Oryza sativa Japonica Group: one gene and its partners. Each later gene encodes a partner of the first gene's protein in a complex. Links are inferred from orthologs where the notes say so. Each region holds a gene or a part of one and is shown on either strand. Other genes may lie near its edges.

Region 1 (4,812 bases):
GAGTGAAACTTCTTTTTTTCATGACAGAATGAGGGAATCCATAAATTTTTCCATTCAAAGTGATGTATACAGTTTTGGTGTTTTCCTTGTGGAGTTGCTCAGTGGCAAGAGGGCTCTGTCTGATCAAAACATCATTCGATGGGTAAATTCCAACACTTCCAAAGTTTGCAGCTGACACACCCAATTCCTCATTTGTTAGAGGCTTTCCCTGTTCTTGTAATAATCTGTCGACCGTTGTAAAATCCGTACTAAATTTGCAGTTTTGCTGATACGCAGGTGCAGAACTTCCAACAATCAAGTGATATCTCTGCAATTGCAGATAACAGAATGGCCAGTGCCTATACCTCAGAAGGCATGAGAGAATTTCTGCGGTTGACATCGTGGTGCGTGAACCCGACGAGCGAGCATCGCCCATCGATGAACTTGGTGGAGGCGGAGATAAACCGAATTCGCGAGCAAGAGATGAGGATGACCACAATCATGCCAGAAAGCACACCAACTGTGACTCTAGGTAGTCAGCTCTTCACAACATCAGGTTGAAGAAGAACTAGCTAGTTTCCTCTCATCATCAGAGTTATAGACTAGCAATTCCCTTTCCATTTATTATTTCTCTCTCTCTTTTCTTTGGTCTTCATAGTGATTCAGCTGTAACTCAAGTGTACAAAAAAGGAACAGCTGTGAGGTTCCCTTTATTCCTTTTCCTGTACAAGAAAAGAATGATATTTCCTTTTCTTTTACATATTGATAATATTGGAGGCTGATGCCAAAGTTATTCCATTATACTACTATATATATCTATTGAATTAGTGATGTCATTCACAGGATTTTCTCCATTACATTGGGGGGAAAACAAAATACACATGACAGAATTTTCAGTCTCCTTTTGTACCTGGCTGAGAACTTCAGAGTTGAGACTGTCAGAGACATAGAAAGCAGGCCTTACAGTAGATGAGATGATCCATACACACATCATTTCATCTCAAAGTTCTTTATTTTGAAGAGACTCATCTTGCAGCTTTGCCACCCTGCTTTTCTTTGGAGTGGTTCTGATTTTCTGAACTGTTTCTGCAGCTGCATCTAACAAATGTGACCCCCCATTTCTGAATACCATATCTAAGACGATTTCACAATCTCATCTCTTCTGTCGACGGTGAAGTCCCAGAGCTCGCCGTACTTCTCGTTGAAGTCCCAGATGTCCATGGTGTTGTAGTCGGCGATGAGCTTGTCGCGAGCCGATCTCTCCATCATGTAGATCTCCGGCTCAAAGTTGTGTGGCTTGTCCGGTTTGTCCATCTCGATAACGCAGAACACGACGACGAACACTGCTGCGCCGATGTAGAGGTACTCCCCCTAGTGGCAGAAGTAGACACATATTCAGAGAGCTCAAGAGCCAAGACAGATTGTGAAATGTGATACATGTCAGTAGGCTGGAACTACTGCTCAATATGTTACCGGAACATTGAAGGCCATGCCAAGGATGATTGCAGGAGGAAACAACCAGGAGATCAGTGCTGCAAGAGATGGCCCATCAGTGCAAATTGAGCAAGCTTGTCTTAAGAGAAGAAAGATCTGATTTTTTTTCTCTGATTTATCTGAAAGAATCTGATTTTTCTCTGATTTATCCAAGTGAGAAAGGAATTTGGCTGTTACTACCTTGGAAGCCCTGAGGAGGTTCAGCTTCTTGGTACCACTCAGAGACATCCTCCCAAAAGCCCTTCTTATCTTCAGTGTCAAATGATTTTTTTTTCCACATCATATCACATAAGAATCAGAAATTAGCACACATGAGCATGATTACGCATTTTGATTCAAGGAATGGATAACTGGATAAGATAGCCCAGAAAAAGAACCTTGGGTTTCATTATATGTGTGGTGACCATCATACACTCCATACTCGAAGTCGTCCTGCAAAGCAGATTCTTTTCAGTGTCAAAACCATTTCTTCAGACAACACAGCACAGCAGCAGCAATCACTGAAGAAAGAATCAAAGAAACCATGGAAACTGCTTGGAATAGAGAAAAATAATGAAATTCTCAACACGGTGGCCGGCGACGGCGAGGAGGACAGACCGGGCTGACGCCGTTGGTGCGCCACTTATCAATGGGGTCCTCGTTCAGGTCGGGCTCGATCTCCGTCAGTGGCCCGGGCCCCGCCCTCGCCACCACCGCCCGGCCTCTGCTCCGGCAGCAGCAGCAGCCGCCATGCTCCGTCTTTAGCTGCCTCGCTGCTACTGCTGCTGCTGCTGCTGCTCCTGTTGCTGTTGCTGCATCGTCATGACGAAGGCGAGCTTTTGCAGTGGCAGACGGTGACGCAGAAATGGCGGACACCAAGCTGCTGCTGCTGCTCATCATCTCGCTCCAAACGCTGAGCTCTGCTGCTCGCTTCTTGCTTAGCTGGTAGCTGCTGCTGCACTTATACTTTGCTGCAAGGAGACAAAAACAAGAGGATAATGGGTATGGGGCATGTACCGTCCAGGATTTTTCGCTGCTTTTTTCCTCTTTTCTTTCTTTTTCTTCATGCCTGGAAAGAAATCTGCATCACCTCATTAGTCAGTCAGTAATCAGGTCAGATATGCATGATAATCTTGTGAATGAATAGAACTAGTATTTGTTAGTACTACATTATTGCATTCTGATGAATCTGAATTGTTAGCAACAGCAAGCACAGAGCCTTGTGTTTTACACATCAGGAGAGACAAGGAAAAGACAACTGCAACATGAGGACATGATTTGTAAATGAAAAGAGCAGAAAAAGAACCAGCAACCCAGTGTCACTGTGTCGGACGTCACTGATTCAGTGGCTGAGATACAGTGCACCATCAGCAGCGCTTTTTCACTGCTTCAGTATGCTTTTTATGCGTCATACTTGGCTCTTGTGCCTTGAGTTAGCAGGCTGCTGCATTTCTTGTAGGAGTATTCATTAACTGAACAAACAAGGCAGCAGTTCATGAACCTCTTTCCACATTTTTTTTTACTGAAATCTTTCCACATTTTGTTCCAAGAAGAAACTAAATTTCTTACAACATGCATTAAACATTGCATAATACAGCAGGTCCTACAACAGAACAACAATAGCATATCTGCTCAACTTCCATCGGAGAATTATTCCGCAGCCGTCCAGGACCTATTGCCCCCCTAAACTGCAAAGAAATCAGTGTCAGGACTTCTTGGAGTATTCCAGAAACAATATAATGTCCCATCCAAAAAACCAGAAACAATCTAATGATGGAAGCCTAGAGTCCACCAAAGGATTACCTGGTTCAAATAGAATTGGATAACTAGCTTTGTCTGGCCTTCATAACCAGCTCTTCTGTAGTAGCGCCAATGATCTCATTGGCACGCTTCAGAGATAGACAGCATATTCTTCCAATAGAATCCTGCAAGCATCACTGGCTTTATTATCCATGATTAAAATAGAGAAAATGCGAGTAACAACATAATGGTATTTCATTTAAAAATTCTTTTAGATTCTATACATTCTGAAATTTATCTAAGTTTTTTTTGGGGATATATATCTCACTATGATTTGGTACTGCTGTAACAAGCTGTAAGAACTCACTCTTGTAATGATGCCAAGCCTCTCTAACTTCTGAACAGCATCCATCACCTCAAAATTGCATTGCAAGCCAAACTCTTCTTGGATTAACTCTTCACATTGTAAGTCAAGATCCTAGCATTGAGTGCCAAGAATATTCAACTCAATTTTTATACTTGCACAACTTCAGAAACAAAACATGCTTGTTTCAAATACCAAAGCAATACCTCAATAGTCGCCTTTCCATTTTCCATCAAAATATAGTAGGAAATTATAATCTCCTTGACCTGGACATCAGAATTCAGAAACCACAAAGATGAAAATAATTGTGAGCACAAGTCTCTGATATGCTTATTCTGAATCAAGTACTACAATATGGAGACCTACTTCCTGCTGAATCACATCATCACAGAGATGGAGAAGTGTGCCTTTCCCACTATCTAGCTGTTTGTCATACATTGATTGAGTTATTAGGTTTTGATATGTTGCCATGTTCTGTTGAAACCTGAATCAAAGGTAGCTTATTTACCAAATTTGTCCAATACAACCAATACAGCAAATAAAGTATCATCATAAATAAGAAAATGCTGAAGGAATCAGGGAAGCAAAACTGCATTTTATGGAGGTATTCTAAAGTAATTCTGGCTGGATGAGTAAACAAAAATCCTCCCTGTCCCTGCTCTATTATATACACAATGCAGATTACCGACAAGATGACAAGACGAATACCCAATCAAAACAAATATATCAACCAAGGCACTCACGATAAATAGATCTTGGCACAATATCCAGCCAGGGCAGAAAGGACGGCAACTACAACCCAGAAATCAGCTTTAGGCATTTCGAGCGAACTGACAAGTGTAACCTGAGCAATGTGAAAAAAATAATCATCAGGTGATGAATCACAACCCAATCAAGTGCAACCAGTTCCAGTCCACTTACAAGTCCAATGACAACAGAAACAATAAACTGAACCCAGTCCATTGGTGTGAGGCTTGGATTTTTCTTCTCAGGCTGCAACAGTCATAATTTCTCTTCAGCATAAGTCCAATTGAAGAAAGCAATATGGATGTCACCACATTATTCTTTGGCATATTAAGCTTCTACACTTACCAAAACCAGCTCCATATCTGCCATTGGAATATTTTTGAAGTGCTTTACATGAATTGATCTATCATTCTGGCCCTTAGGGCTTTTCCTCCTGAAAGAACAGTCAGAAATCAGTTATAACACAGTAGTTCAAGACATCATGAAAGCAGCCAATTCACAACCAGGGC
Region 2 (3,925 bases), on another chromosome or scaffold:
TATTCATGTGAGATCTTGTTATAAATTATAGATTGGATATATATTTTAGAATAAAATTATGTTTAAAGTTTGATTAAGAGAGACAGAGTAATGATGCCTCACGTCATCTTGGCAACCAGGTCTACTCCTGCATGCATGCATGCATGCGACAACCTCGCTCCTTCAACGTGTCCCTGCATACAAACGAGGAGCAGCGTCTTTAAAAAAATATTGAACGTACGATTGGTAGGCTCCGATATTTGAAAAAATATTGAACGTACGATTTGTAGCGTCCGATTTAAAAATATTTCAACATAATTAAGTATTTGTGCAAAAATATTTTATTTTTCATATGATTTTTTTTATGTTTCACTCATTGGTATTTAACGTTTTGTGTAGTGGTTGTGATTGTTTCAGTTAGTAAATTGTTGTATTTCTCTAAATTTGAAACAATTCACGAGGTGAGTTGTAATATTTGTGTACATGTGATGAAACAGTTTTCTATCAATGGTGAGACAAGTTATTTTTTGAGACACATGTATATTTTTATCAAAATATAACCATGTGAGATCTTGTTATAAAGATTTAATGATGATGAATCTAATGGTATCATTGAAATTTAGATCAGAATATATAATTTTGGAGAAAAAAATATTTAAAATTTGAGGAAAAAATTAGGCACATGTAATAATAGAAGGGAGAGGGAGGGAGCGTATGCAAGCAGCAGCGCAAGCAACACATACAGGGGAGGCAAGCAACGTGGCACGTGAACAATGCAGCATGGGCGGCCTACATGCATGCGTATGCGCGCGGCAGTGCGGGGGTGAGCGTTGACCAGCAAGTGAAACATTATGTTATATATGGTGAAACAAAAAAAATCAACAACCGAAACATTTAAGTATTTTATGAAACATGGTGAAAATACACGTTGAAACATGTCGCTGGCACATATGAAACAACAAGTATTAACGAATTGAAACATATATTTTTCTTTTATCAAAATAAAATCATGTGATATTTTATTGTAAAGATTTAATTAGAACAAATATAATGGTGTGATCGGATCATAAATTGGATAAGTAATTTAAGAGAAAAATTATTTTGAAGCTTGCTAAAATACATACATGTGTGCATGGATGAGGTGGAGAGAGAGGAGAGAGAGTAGTAGCAGTTAGTTTCATGAATTTTGTGAAACACACCGATGACACATATTGAAACATATCACTATCACGTACGAAACATTTTGTTTTAACGTTTTGAAATACATGTTTTTCTTTTGACATAATATAATCATGTGATATCTCATTGTAAAGATTTAATTGCAACGAATAGAACGGTGTGATCGGATCGTAAATTGGATAAGTAATTTAGGATAAAAAATATCTAAAGAGAGGAGAAAAGAATGAAAAGAAGCAGTTAGACACATACGTTACAGTGACAGGGTTCGTTCTCACATGCCTGCATGGGCGTCCGATTTTTGGTGAGATGCCGGACGCCAAGCCGTAGCGCCCTCCAAGAAATGGCGGACGGATGCACGTAACGGGCCACGAGCCCACGGGTCAACCTAATCCCATCCGGCCCAAACATGACCTTGACCGGGCAAGGCCTAGCAACGCTCAAGCCCGCTTCAACCAAGCCCAAAATTCTTGTGCTTTTCGTCTGCCCAAGATCAGACAATGGTTGGCCACCCAAAAGTCTGACCTTATCCACTAAAATTTTCCATACAGATTACAGGTTACAGGTTTCACCCCTGAGCCAAACGTGAGCCCGCTACACTGACAACAACAAGCTCATCGCCAACCCGCTACTGAAGCAGCAGCCTACCAGCAATGGCGTTGCCGCTGCTCAAGTCGTCCCCCCACTTCTCTGCTCTTCACTCCGCGAACAGAGCCCAGCTCCATGGCCGCTGCCGTGCAACGGTACCGCACCGTCCATTCTCCCCTTCGCGTTCATGCAAAAACTGCTTTCCTGAATTCCTTGCGAATTTCACCTACTTGTTCAAATGTTGTTGTTAAATTTGCAGCTCGGTGGATTCCATGACCCGAGGTCCAACTCCAGCCGTTGCAAGGTGAAAGGTCCCAGTGCATTTTAATTTTTTCACCGAGAAAGAAGAAATCCGTGGTGATTGGTGAGGCAAAGTAATGCGGTCTTAGCGTTTGCAGAAATCGGCCGGGAGGGGTTCAGTGAAGGCGAACGCGTCCCCGTTGGACGTGGTGACGCTGATGGTGACGATGGTGGAGCACGTCGACCTGCAGAGGGACTACGTCGTGCACAAGTCGATCTGGCATCTCAGCGACGCCGCCCTCAAGAGCGTCTGTGAGTCGTCGTCGTCGTTTCACCTTTCCTGCAGTTTGTTGTTACGTCTGAAACTGAAACTTTTCACAAAAAAATTTCTCTGTCTGTCTCGTAGATACCTTCTACGCCTTCTTCACAGTCTGGGGCATCTGCTTCTTTGCGTCCATGAAGGCAAGCACGCAGAACATATGCCACTACAACTTGGAACGAAATTACATCTTCGATATGTGTTACTGACACGGTCTTGTGTGAATTTACAGGATCCTTTCTACGACAGTGAGGCGTACAGGGGACAAGGGGGTGACGGCACCGTGCACTGGTACTATGACCGGGTATGTCTTTCATTACGGCTTTTTTTTTTTCCTTTATCACGAAGAAAGAACATTCAGACAATTAGACAAACTCTAGTTGTGCGAAGCTACTAAGATAACCAGTCATTTTGCTGATCGATCTCCACTCTCCCATGGTTGATTCTGCAGCAAGAGGACCTGGAGGCGTCTGCAAGAGAGGAGCTCCTGAGGGAGGAGCTACTCGAGGAGATCGAGCAGAGGGTCGGAGGGCTCAGAGAACTCGAGGAAGCAGCCAAGGAGGAGCAGCTTACAAACTGATGGATGAATGAGAGATTGCGCATGGATGGATGACTGCATGATCATGGCGCGATGCGGCTGCATTCTGTAATACCGTACAGAGCGGCTGTGTAATAGCAAGATACACAGTTGCCTGATAGCGCCTGTAAATGTTGGCATCAGACTCAAAAGGAAAGCAAATAGGTGCTCCGTCTGCATGAATGCATTATATTGCATTTGTAGTGTAGGCTAAAAGAAGGAATGTACTACTCCATGTTAATCAAAGAACCTGTACCGTTCACCATGGTGGATATTGCTTCCAAAATATATAAATTGTGTAAATCGACTGATATAGACCTACACCATGGTGGATATACGTGCCCTGTGGAGACGGAAGTTTTGTCAGATCGCAACCAAATTGTGGCGATCCAATATGCTTTCGTTCTGTCGGCTCTCACGGTGTCGGGCCAACTTTATTTGGGTCCAGTACAGAATGGTAGCGATTATGGGCTACCTTTACCGGGCCGCTCGGTGATGGACTGGCCCAAAAAACTCCGTTAGTTCGGCCTGCTTGCGCTGGTGGTCGCGCGCTGGGAATTGGACGCCATCGTCGGCCACGGCCATTCGATCGAGGAAGAAGAACCGCTGATCATACTTGAGCTGCTCCACTACAGGCCGCGAACCAGCAGCAATCAGTCTGCACTCAACGTACAGTACAGACCACACTACCACAGTAGGTAGCACATGTATATACTACTTGTATAGGGTGCAGAACTTCGTAGTATTCCGTCGATCAGCTCATCAGTCATCAGAGACTAACAATAGTTATTTCGACACAGGTCTCTCGACAGGCTTGAATCGGCTGGGCCATGGCTGATGCAAGCGATCGTGATCGGCTCGCTCCCGACATGTGCGGGTGAGGTCGCGGCGAGCCGGAGTAGGGCTGCAGGAGCAGCAGATGGGCATGCGTACGGCGCGAACAGACCGGCCAGCAGCAGCGGCGTGATCGAGACTGAAACGATCAGGCGATGTACTGTGCTAGTACACTGGTCGCTGCGCAAAGCTGCAAGGAGTAGGACTAGCTG
Region 3 (3,470 bases), on another chromosome or scaffold:
TGGGCCGTGCCGTCAGTGTGTCGTGCCGTGCTGGGCCGGGCCGCCCGTTTGGCCTGCTATAACTCTACTACTAGCTAATAGTAGTGGACGATTCTTCCAGGGATTAAGGCTGTGTTCGCCGTGGTACAGTATTAGCGCGTAATTAATTAAGTATTAGCTAATTTTTTTAAAAAAGATTAATTTGATTTTTTAAGCAACTTTCATATAGAAACTTTTTATATTAAAAAAACACGCCATTTAGCAGTTTGAAAAAGCGTGCGCGTAAAATGGGCATCGAACATAGCTTAAGTCTATTTTGCCTCCTTCCACTATTGCGTTGTGCTGAATCGCATCCTCCAAATTCGAAACAGTTACAAATCGATTTCTTCTATTGTTGCAAAGTTTCTACTCACGGGGTAGTTAACCATGGTCAAACTTGTTGACGTGTACAAATGGAATCACATGTAGGGATAGATATCGAGTTGACTCGGCTCGGCTCATCAACAAGCTCGAGCTAGCTCGTTAAGCTCACGAGCTAGGGGCAAGAGACATAGCCGGCGAGCATAGGAAGCAGCTCAACCTCGCCTGCACTTCAAGTCTGCAACTAGGGGAGGAGGGGAGGAGCTTGACGGCGGAGAAAACGAGCTCGAGCTTGAGCTCGACGGCGACTACAGAGAGGAGCTCGATGGTGGAGGGGATGAACTCAACCTTCACAGCTCCGCCGACACTTGGACAGTTCACGGTTGGACCACGAGGAGGAGGCGAGCTCGACGGCGGGCACTGGGGGAGAGGCGGAGAGCGGCGGCGGCAGGCGCTCGATGGGGGTTGGCGGCGGCGGCTTGGCGCGGTGGCGATGGCGCTCACACGGCGGCGTGGCGCAGCGCCGATGGCGATGGCCGAGATGCGGATGCCGAGATGCACCGAGCGCCCAAGCCGCTGATGCGATGCGAATGCGATATGTGCGAGACGGTGGTGGACAGGGAGTCAGGGTCTCAGGCTGAGGTGAACTAGGGTTTTTTTTGATGAGTCTATTGGGCCAATGGGCCATAATGTATGTGTGCTGTTAGCTGTGGACCTGACTTGGCCTGGTAACCCCATAGCTCGTTAAGGCTCGCGAGCAGCTCGAGCTGGCTCGTTATCTCTAACGAGCTAAGATGCCAGCTCGGCTCGTTAGGAAATTCAAACGAGACAAGCCAAGTCGAGCCTGTCACGAGCCGAGTGAGCTAACGAACCACAAGCTTTCTGTCCACCCCTAACCACATGTAAATGCCTTGGTTTGCACCAGATTGAGAGGAGGAAGAGAGAAGATTGAGAAGATACACAAAACGAGGTGAGACATTAGCACATGATTAATTGAGTATAAACTATTTTAAACTTAAAAAATTGATTAATATGATTTTTTAAAGCAACTTTCGTATAGAAAATTTTTACAAACACACCGTTTAGTATTCGGGAAGTGTGTGCGTGGAAAACGAAACAAACTAACTCAAAATCACTGAATCACCTCCTGCAGAATAAGAAGATGGTGGAGGCATTATACCAGGTTTAGCGGTTAAGAGAGACGATTCAATCAAGAGCGAGAGAGGAGGGAGGCAAGTTAGACTAATTCCTTCATGCAGCCATTCTGTCGGCCCCTAGGAGAGGCAGCCCCATCAAACCGAGAGAAATATCTATGTGGTGCACTTTTGCAAAGGCGAAGGTTTTCCTCATCCTCTCGTGGCATCGCGCGCTATCCATTCATTCCCTTGCTACACTGACACACATCCTCGATGGCCACTTATCTCCAATCAGCAGGCCTCACCGCCGCCACTGCCAGCACCAGCCGCCTCCTCCGGCCAACACCACGGAGGCTGCTCCTCCTCGTGGCGGCGTGCTCCACTGGCGGACGGAGATCAGCCTGCCTCTCCGTCGGCCTCGCAGCCGCCGCCGCCACCATCTTCCAGCATCATCCCGCCTGCGCCGCCACCGACGACGAGCCGGCAAACAATGGGTGGTGGCTCACCGAGTTCCCTTTGCCGGTGCCAAAGATTGTCAACAGTGAGTAGTAAATTAATTACCATTACACACACAAAATATATAAATATAGTGATTGCAATATATATATATATATATATATATATATATATATATATATATATATATATATATATATATATATATATTGTGTGTGCAGAGGAGCTGAACAATGGCGAGACGGGGAGCCGGACGTTCGTGAGGAACGGCATCTACATAGCCGACATCGGGCCGAGCTACGCGGCGCACGCGTACAGGCTGCGGAGCACGGCGTTCGACCTGCTGGCGCTGGAGGACCTGCTGGGCAACAACGCCGACAGGGCCAACTACGTCACCAAGTACCTCCGCCTCAAGTCCACCTTCATGTACTTCGACTTCGACAAGCTCATCTCCGCCGCCTCCGACGACCAGCGCCCCCCGCTGCTCGACCTCGCCACCCGCCTCTTCGACAGCTTCGAGCGCCTCCAGAAGGCCTGCGGCACCAAGGACGACACCCAGATCGGCTCCTCCTATGCCGACACCAAGATCATCCTCCAGGAGGTCATGGCAAAGATGGCCTAGTGTTTCTGTTGGTGTACTAGCTAGTACTGTATTTCTCTCACTTTACTTGTCATACATACATATATATATATATATATATATATCCTCCTCATCACACACATATTCATATTCACATCTACGCTATGCAATATAACTTCATACTCAGTAAGTACTAAAAAGCAACAGAGCATTTCAATTCCAATTACTTGTCTGTCTTTATCATCCAAACAAAGCCAGCCCAACACAACACAGGGCACTTCTCCAATAAAATACAACCAACCTCACATCTTGTTACTACCACTGCACATTGATGCAGCCACAAATTAGATACTACAGTACTATCTGTAATGTAATGCAATGCGATGCTCGTACAATCAACAAAGCCACATGCCAAATCAGAATATTATACACACCCTCTAAGCAACCAACACACGGAGGGGATGCAAATGATCCATTGCATCCCTCAAACAACACACAAATACAATTAGTCATGGACATTCATTTTGTCCAAGCCAACTCATCCTTGCGCCAAGCTACGCACTTGGGTTTGACGACGAGGGATGCCAATCTCGCACGAGTTCACCCGTGCTGCGAACCGTAGCGAGCAAATTGACTCCCCTGTAGACGACACCTCTGGAGACAGATTCACAAACATAAGTGTCTTCGAGTCTCCTCCAAGGCATGGCTGTGTCCAAGGGGAACAAAATCATTCACACATTATAGCCACGGAAACTAGAACAAGTTTGCAGATATTCTTAGCTGAGTGCTTAGAATTTACCTGTAGCAAGTACGTTAATTTTGAGTTCCTGAACGGAACGTGCTCCTCTTTCTTTGCAATGGAGAAGATTACATCGCTCAAGCATGAGAGGCTCTTATTAATAGCCTAAATAGCAAATTTATATCATAACAGTGGTTACGCATTGTACCATGTACACACC

Evidence for each region.
Region 2: photosynthetic NDH subunit of subcomplex B 5, chloroplastic (region 1) and photosynthetic NDH subunit of subcomplex B 4, chloroplastic share a complex: the UniProt entries of both Arabidopsis thaliana proteins name them as parts of the chloroplast NDH complex. The link is inferred for Oryza sativa Japonica Group from reciprocal best matches to the Arabidopsis thaliana genes PnsB5 and PnsB4.
Region 3: photosynthetic NDH subunit of subcomplex B 5, chloroplastic (region 1) and photosynthetic NDH subunit of lumenal location 3, chloroplastic share a complex: the UniProt entries of both Arabidopsis thaliana proteins name them as parts of the chloroplast NDH complex. The link is inferred for Oryza sativa Japonica Group from reciprocal best matches to the Arabidopsis thaliana genes PnsB5 and PnsL3.

Annotation. Positions count from the first base shown.
Region 1 is NC_089035.1:41,426,754-41,431,565, reverse strand, and holds photosynthetic NDH subunit of subcomplex B 5, chloroplastic, read right to left. Parts: upstream 3,131-4,812; 5' UTR 2,353-3,130; coding exon 2,071-2,352; intron 1,906-2,070; coding exon 1,851-1,905; intron 1,723-1,850; coding exon 1,654-1,722; intron 1,512-1,653; coding exon 1,453-1,511; intron 1,351-1,452; coding exon 1,114-1,350; 3' UTR 770-1,113; downstream 1-769. Other genes in the region: serine/threonine-protein kinase-like protein ACR4, read left to right, coding at 28-142, 277-540; uncharacterized protein, read right to left, coding at 3,279-3,377, 3,560-3,670, 3,763-3,822, 3,923-4,040, 4,300-4,400, 4,478-4,549, 4,649-4,736. UniProt on the Arabidopsis thaliana protein: NDH shuttles electrons from NAD(P)H:plastoquinone, via FMN and iron-sulfur (Fe-S) centers, to quinones in the photosynthetic chain and possibly in a chloroplast respiratory chain.
Region 2 is NC_089036.1:31,695,665-31,699,589, forward strand, and holds photosynthetic NDH subunit of subcomplex B 4, chloroplastic, read left to right. Parts: upstream 1-1,702; 5' UTR 1,703-1,808; coding exon 1,809-1,898; intron 1,899-2,002; coding exon 2,003-2,047; intron 2,048-2,141; coding exon 2,142-2,295; intron 2,296-2,389; coding exon 2,390-2,445; intron 2,446-2,534; coding exon 2,535-2,606; intron 2,607-2,753; coding exon 2,754-2,882; 3' UTR 2,883-3,189; downstream 3,190-3,925. UniProt on the Arabidopsis thaliana protein: NDH shuttles electrons from NAD(P)H:plastoquinone, via FMN and iron-sulfur (Fe-S) centers, to quinones in the photosynthetic chain and possibly in a chloroplast respiratory chain.
Region 3 is NC_089041.1:311,992-315,461, forward strand, and holds photosynthetic NDH subunit of lumenal location 3, chloroplastic, read left to right. Parts: upstream 1-1,674; 5' UTR 1,675-1,748; coding exon 1,749-2,016; intron 2,017-2,152; coding exon 2,153-2,553; 3' UTR 2,554-2,734; downstream 2,735-3,470. Other genes in the region: kinesin-like protein KIN-14N, read right to left, coding at 3,050-3,217, 3,311-3,415. UniProt on the Arabidopsis thaliana protein: NDH shuttles electrons from NAD(P)H:plastoquinone, via FMN and iron-sulfur (Fe-S) centers, to quinones in the photosynthetic chain and possibly in a chloroplast respiratory chain.